Linked DNA regions of Arabidopsis thaliana. The protein of the gene in region 1 interacts with the protein of each later gene in a pairwise test. Each region holds a gene or a part of one and is shown in the gene's direction. Other genes may lie near its edges.

Region 1 (3,756 bases):
TAACAGCTTTGGATCTGCTGAAGTCGCGTCCCAGACCTGAAAATTGTAAAACAGAACTTATGAATATACAATAGATATCTACACAACGAGATAAACCTTGGTACTATGAACACAATAGAGAAGCATCCATACCTCAACAACATCAGGCCTAGCGGAAACCTGCTTCAGCTCAGCAATCTTCATTCTCCGTTGAAGCTGAGGAAACAGAAATTCAGAATATTCAGAATCTAAAGAATGCAATAAAACAAATTGAGAGGTAATAATAAGGTTTGAGCTATACCTTTTTCTTCTTATTAGAGATGCCTTTCTCTTTGTTCTGATTATCCTGCTCGTCGTCGTCTGAATCAGAATCAGAGTTAACCTTCTTTTTGACATCTTCTTTCTCCTCAGACTCATCTTTCGTACCGTCTTCTTCAGAGGCAAGAGGTTCGCGGAAGTTGAACTTCTCGAAGATTTCCTTAAACTCATCGTTAAAACCATCTTCAAATTCAGCTTGCTCTGGAACATACTCTATCACAATCTGCTCACAAACCTATCAAAGAGAAACATATACCAAAAATCATCAGCAAACGATAAACAATCACAAACCCTAAGAAAAACCCTAGAACACCTCTCCATGAATCGAGTACGAGAAGATGAGCACAAAGTTAACCTGTGGCTGGGGATCTGTATTCTCTTTGGATTCAGAAGCAGCAGAAACGTCCGATGCATCTACATCGGCTTGGGATGCTTTGTTGTTCTTCTTCTGCTTCCGTCTGCGGCGGCGACGGTCAATCTCACGAGATTTCTTAGAGGAAGCGGAGGTGTTTCCGTTGGAGACATCACCGTTAGAAACGACGCTATGAACGAGTGCGACGGTTGAATCGGCGGTCATATTCGGTGTTCTCTCTGAATCGGTGATGTGAAAAGAGAGATTGAGAGGAGAAGGAAGAACGACGGAAATCGAGGATATACGTATATGAACAAGAGTCGGTTTGCTGAAATTCTCTCTGATTCTATTTCCGGTTTGGCATAAGGCCCATATAAGTAGAAGACGAATATATCTGCCAATAGGCCCAACACTTTATATTTTTCTTCGAGTGTAAGAATTGTTTTGTAGAAGACCATCTACTAGTAACTAATAGAAAATTTCAAAGGAAATGTATGGAACAATATTCAAACACTACTATAAATGTTGGCACGAGTTAACTCTACATTATTCGTAAAAATGTTCTATTGAACTTTTAAAATTATAAAATTACAGTTTACACAATGTCTTGAAATTTTGAAGAAAGTTATAAGTATCAAAATTGTATATATGTGGGTATTTGAGATTTAAATAAAATTCTCTGACTAACAACAAAACTTTTAATAAAATTTAAATGTTTTAGTTTATTATTCGTAAAAATTTAGTTTTTACATGAATTGAGGTAATTTTTATTCACTTTGAGATTTTATTAATGTGAGCACGACTCCCGGTGTATGTTATCGGTTGTTTATTATGCAATTAGAACAATATACATTGTGCCTTTTTAGTTTCAAAATTGTTTTCATAAGACATTAGGAAAGAACACGGAAAAAAAAGACATTAGGAAAGAATTTTGTAACGGCTTTTGTACGTAACGGTTATTTTTAAACAAGGAAAAAAATACTGTCTATAAAAAAAAATTATCTTTACGTAGTTGTGTATTTTAGAAAACAAAATAAATCATTTTTTATTTACTAAACTATTATTTTATAAGGAAAAGATTGAAAAGAGTAGGGGAAAGATATATGTGAAAAAATATTCATGCTTGGTAGATAAAAAATATTTCACAAATAAAGAGACAAGTATATGTCAAAAATATCATGTCTTTTGAATAAATAATCTTCTAAAAAAAAAGAATTAGATGAACTATAAATATCTTGTGGTATATGAATCCTTGACACTGTAAAAATCAAAACATGAGATCAGAAACACAAGTATAAAAGTACATTACAAGTACGGTATGAATCGAAAAAAAAACAGAATTTGACAGGTTTTGAGCTGATAAAAACTATTTCAGGCTTTTATTAATTTTTAAAAATAGTATTAATTGTTTTTAAAATAAGACATAAATAAAAAAAAGAACGGTTAAAGAAAATGAAGGGGCCCTTCGTGTTTTGTTTTCCCTTAAAAAAACCAAGGACAAAGGCATAATGCCGTATTCACAATCTTGACTCTTCGTTATCTGGATCTAGGGTTTCTCTCGATTTTTAGAACGCCACAAAACCTAATAAACTTTTCCCAGATACACAAACAAACTCATCATCAACCAAGGAAGAAGAAAGAAACTAGGGTTTTTTTTTGTGGATTCATCATCGGTATTTTACAGATCTATATTCAAAGGGAACAAAATCTTAAGGAACAAACACTAAATTTTCATTCTTTCTCTTATTTACCCATTTATCAAAAATCTTCCTTTTGTTTTCCTGATTCTTGCTAAAGAAAAAAACTCGGATCCAATTCATAAACTAGTGTGGACTGGTGATCAATCTATCAATTCTGGCCAAGGGACAACAAAAAGTTTAGATTTTGATGAACCAATTTTGAGATGAGACAATAGACATCCATTGATCTGTAAACTTTAAGAAGGAGAAGGAGAAAAGAAAGTATGTATAGTAATAATAGAGTAGAAGTGTTTCATGGTGATGGAAGACTTGGAGAATTGGAGATATACCCTTCAAGGGAATTGAATCAGCAACAAGATGATGTGATGAAGCAGAGGAAGAAGAAACAGAGGGAAGTAATGGAGCTAGCCAAGATGGGAATCAGAATAAGCCACTTTTCTCAATCTGGCGAGAGGTGTCCTCCTCTTGCAATACTTACTACAATTTCATCTTGTGGCCTTTGTTTCAAATTAGAAGCTTCACCTTCTCCAGCTCAGGAGTCACTCAGTTTATTCTACTCGTCCTGTCTCAGGGACAACAAGGTATCTAAACCTTACGAACCTTTAAGCCTTACTCAGACTTAGATTTTATCAACTAAAACTCAAAAACACTTAATGATAAATAGGATTTTGTGTCATTATTTAACTTCCTTAATGTCAGAGCTGCATCAAGTTTGGGGCTTTAGAAACTTTTAGTAGAGTGGGGGTTTGAATCTTGTGTTGTTTGTTATGTTACAAATTGTCCTCATATTTGTGAGTTTTGGATTTTTGCTTCTTGCAGACAGCAGTAATGCTCTTGGGTGGAGAAGAGCTCCATTTGGTTGCTATGTACTCGGAAAATATCAAGAATGACCGTCCTTGTTTCTGGGCATTTAGTGTTGCTCCTGGAATTTACGATTCCTGTCTTGTTATGTTGAATCTTAGATGTCTGGGTATTGTCTTTGATCTTGATGAAACCCTTGTAGTGGCGAATACCATGCGCTCATTTGAGGATAAGATTGACGGGTTTCAGCGGAGAATAAACAACGAGATGGACCCTCAACGCCTTGCCGTTATAGTGGCTGAGATGAAGCGTTATCAAGATGACAAAAATCTATTGAAGCAATATATTGAAAGTGACCAGGTTGTTGAAAACGGGGAGGTGATAAAGGTGCAATCTGAAATTGTTCCTGCCTTGTCTGACAACCATCAGCCTCTTGTTCGCCCTCTGATAAGGTTGCAAGAGAAGAATATTATTCTGACTCGCATTAACCCAATGGTATGCAAGTCTTGAATCAGTATATGTCTGTTAGTTTCTGTTCCCCGTATACATATATGTTTAGTGCTTACTACACATTTAAAAGACAATAAGTGGTGGTGTGCTGTGTGG
Region 2 (3,756 bases), on another chromosome or scaffold:
TCGTTTGTATCTGTTTTAACACTTAAATTGCATGCTCATGTTTGTACATGGAAGAACTTATAATAACATATCATCATATCATCATCATCTCCCACATGCTGTGATGCTATATATATAAAAAAAATGTTTTTGTTCTCAAGTTGCCGTGTCTGTTCTATTCTATGCGATCAGCAATTTTCTTTATGGTGATCTCCAAGATACATGTGTGTAGTGTATGCGGTTATGTCATTTAGGCTTCGACTGATATTAAGAAAAAAGAACAAGAAAATTGTAGGTACTGTATAAAGTTTTTACAGAGAAAAAAAGAAGAAGCAAACAATGATGACCCAAAAGCGAAATAGAATGTTACGGCTTTTAAACTCTGTGGCTGATGAAGCAAAGAGCAAAAGGTGAAGCGTAAAGGTGAGGTTAAGTAGGGCAAATCACATGGGAGGAACAAAAAAGGTAACAAAGTAATGTCTGCTAGTTGTTTTTTTACACCGTTTCTCGTTTGATAAAGCGGATATGAAATAATTTCATAAAGGGATATTTCGTACCTTTTCAATTATCCCCACATCAACTTCTCTGTCTATTGTCTACAGATATAAAGGGAGATATGAATAAGCATATATGGTTGGCTTCGTTTTTACTATGACTGAGGATGGTGAGAATTTATAGCCAATCAATTTTCTAAAAAGCAAATCATGTTATGGATTTTAAATATTCAATATAGGAATGATTCAAGTGTAAACATGGGACCTTATTGATAACAAACATAAGCAACCAAAGATAAAATACATACGTATTTTCAAATATACCACATAATCCATGAAATTCGATTTAGAGATCCCGATTTAGAGATCCATACATCTGCATGGTTTATAGGTTTCATGTACAACTAAAGCAAAATAAGCTGAAAGATGATTTTGGAGTAAAGAGCGTTTACTCTCCATAGTAGTAAATGTTGAATGTCTCTTTTGGTGTTCCAGTTTTCCAAACTTTAGCTAAATCTTAAATGATCATATTAACTTTCTAGTGGCATCCCAAAATGGCTGGCACGGGCCTGCGAGTAGATTAGTTGATAGTAATAGGAATTCTATCCAATAATTGATAAATCTCCAGATGACAATCAAACTTGAATATATAAACTATCAGAGATAGGTTCAATAAGAAAAAAAAAGTTGTGTGTAAGGACCCTGATGAGACAAGAGAGTGATCATAAGAAAGAGTTTTAAGTTATAACTGTTGAAAACTTCCATATCTCGATGCTTTGAATATTGATGTACTGTATATGACAAGATATCCTATCATTAATGAAATTCTTTCAGGTAAAGTGAAAAGTGAATTTCAATTCATGAAAAAGGAGAAATGGCTAATGTTAAGTAAAAATTATGAGGTTCATTAACCATAAAGGGTTGCACCAAATGGTGACCAAACCGCATAGTGTGATACGGTTCAAATAGTAACGAAAATATCTATATATATGTGTATATGTATATATTTTCGTTTAGAACCGTACCACACTTTATCCGCAGTTGAACCGCAAGTCACCATTAGCAAAAATATAGTTGCGTATTACTTAAAACCATTTTGTCAAAATACATTAAAGGTTTTTGGTTGCCCGAAACATGTATATTTTTATTTTAACCGAGGCCAAGAGTGATTTCTACGATGGCTTGATAGATCTATAAAATATACCAAAAGAAACCGAATCCTAATTACCATTGATTTCGAAATAAACAAGAACTGGTTTCCTAATTACCATTGAATTTTATTTTGGATTTATATATAGAGAAGATCTTCTTCAACAAAGACATTACACATATGCGGTGTATCTCGCAATAACTATAGAGAATCCTCTAAAATTGATAGATAATTGATATACAAGATGCCACTTTGAATTAATTACACAGAGATCTCTTCATCCACTTTTTGTAGAAAAAATCGGTGGCATAAACAAAACACTCAAAAAAAATCACAACCATAAAAGAAAACATTTGATTTCTTCCTCTTATCCTCAAATTCTCATAAAGTGTACAGTACACAATTCAACATTAAAAGTCGGAAGTATTTTTATCTAAAATTAGTACTACATATTGTAGTTTTTTTTAAGAAGCTAATCAAACATGTTTTAGATTGTTAGATCACACAAATAATTGTGTAGACTCATGACGACTATGACTTGACCAGTGATACAGCAAAGTAGGTTCCAAAGAGTCAGAAATCTCCTTTAATATTTTTTTTGAGGAACAAAGAAAAATATTCATTATTAAGAATTGAATTATGGGAAACACTTAAATGGTGAGAAAGAAAAATACTGAAGTCTCTCAAAGTTCCTAAAGCTTTTGGCAATATGATAATGGCGTGATACCTTTTTCTCTCCTCTCAACAAACGCGCCTCTAATCTCTCAATCTTCTCCAACTCCAATTTCTTGCAATTCACTCCAACTTCTTCTTCATCTTCTTCTTCTCTCTCTCTCTGAGATTCTAGATTTCGTTTCTCACGTTTTCTTCACCAAATATGGGAACCTGCTTCTCCAGCTCAACTAAATCCACGGCTGAGATCTCTCCCTTTGACCTCGTCGTCAAACCTCCTCCTCCTTCCGCCGCCGCCACCGCACCACCAACCCAACGAATCCCCACCGCGAAAACAGAAACATCGACGGTGAGCTTCACCGCAACAGTGAGATTATACGGACCACCTAACAGTCTAGTGACGTCGTATCTCCGTTTCGCTCTTCTCCACAAGAAAGTTCCGCTCCGTTTCGTTCCATCGGAAGACCAAAAACCGACGATTCAAGTCGGATCGGAGACTGTATCAGGTTCTCGAGAGGTTCTTCTCCGTTACATCGAGGATAAGTTCCCAGAGCCGCGTTTGATGATTTGGAAGTTTAATCTGGAAGGCTTCGACGAAGCGACTCCATTGATAGTGAAGATGATTTGGCTTCAGCATAGGAGTATGTTGTGGCATATGGAGAGGATGTTGAGATGGTCGGAGGATCTGGCGGCGCGTGGAGGTAAAAAAGCGGTGGATCCGTCTGTGGGAACACCGAAGATGGAGATTAGGAAATTTGCAAAGAGTTATACTCATTTACAGGAGCTTATGCTCGAACATGCTCAAATGGAAGAGAGAATCTTGTTCCCTGTTCTTGAATCTGTTGATCGAGGTAATTAAAGAGAATTGTTTAGGTTTAGGGAATGAATTTGATTATTGTTGTCAAATGTTGAAATTTTGATTTCTGTGAATTTGTGTGTAGGGATGTGTAAAAGTGCAAATGAAGAACATGGGAGAGAATTACCAATGATGAATGGTATCAAAGAAGATATCAAATCTATTGGAGTTTTGGATTCTGGGATTTGTTCAGAAGCTCTCTTTAGTCTTGCTTCTCGTTTCAAATCATTGCAGGTAAAGTTAAAATAACAATAACAAAAAGCTTCACTTTTGTCTGTTTTTGTAATGATTGAGGTTTTTGTTTTTGAACATAGATGATGTGTAAAACACATTTTGAAGAGGAAGAGAAAGATTTATTGCCAATGGTGGAAGCTGCAGAAATGGGGAAAGAGAAGCAGAAGAAATTGATGAATCAAAGCTTAGAAGTTATGAGTGGGACTCATTCTAACTCGTTTGATTTCCTACTAGAAGGTCTCACTCCACAAGAAGCTATGCAGTATATTGACTTGCTCATGACATTTGGTGATCCAAATCTTATCTCATCTTTTCTCTGCTCTGATGTTGTTGACTGATTTTATCCTTTTTAGGCTCACTTTGTGAAAAAC

What was found.
Region 2: the proteins of CPL1 (region 1) and AT3G54290 interact in a two-hybrid assay, tested with the Arabidopsis thaliana proteins (one study listed by BioGRID).

The regions. Positions count from the first base shown.
Region 1 is NC_003075.7:11,508,899-11,512,654, forward strand, and holds the start of CPL1 (C-terminal domain phosphatase-like 1), read left to right. Parts: upstream 1-2,090; 5' UTR 2,091-2,612; coding exon 2,613-2,930; intron 2,931-3,168; coding exon 3,169-3,645; intron 3,646-3,756. Other genes in the region: AT4G21660 (proline-rich spliceosome-associated (PSP) family protein), read right to left, coding at 1-36, 133-195, 281-532, 653-874. UniProt on the Arabidopsis thaliana protein: Processively dephosphorylates 'Ser-5' but not 'Ser-2' of the heptad repeats YSPTSPS in the C-terminal domain of the largest RNA polymerase II subunit (RPB1). This promotes the activity of RNA polymerase II.
Region 2 is NC_003074.8:20,104,590-20,108,345, reverse strand, and holds the start of AT3G54290 (hemerythrin HHE cation-binding domain protein), read left to right. Parts: upstream 1-2,130; 5' UTR 2,131-2,500; coding exon 2,501-3,146; intron 3,147-3,236; coding exon 3,237-3,385; intron 3,386-3,465; coding exon 3,466-3,723; 3' UTR 3,724-3,756.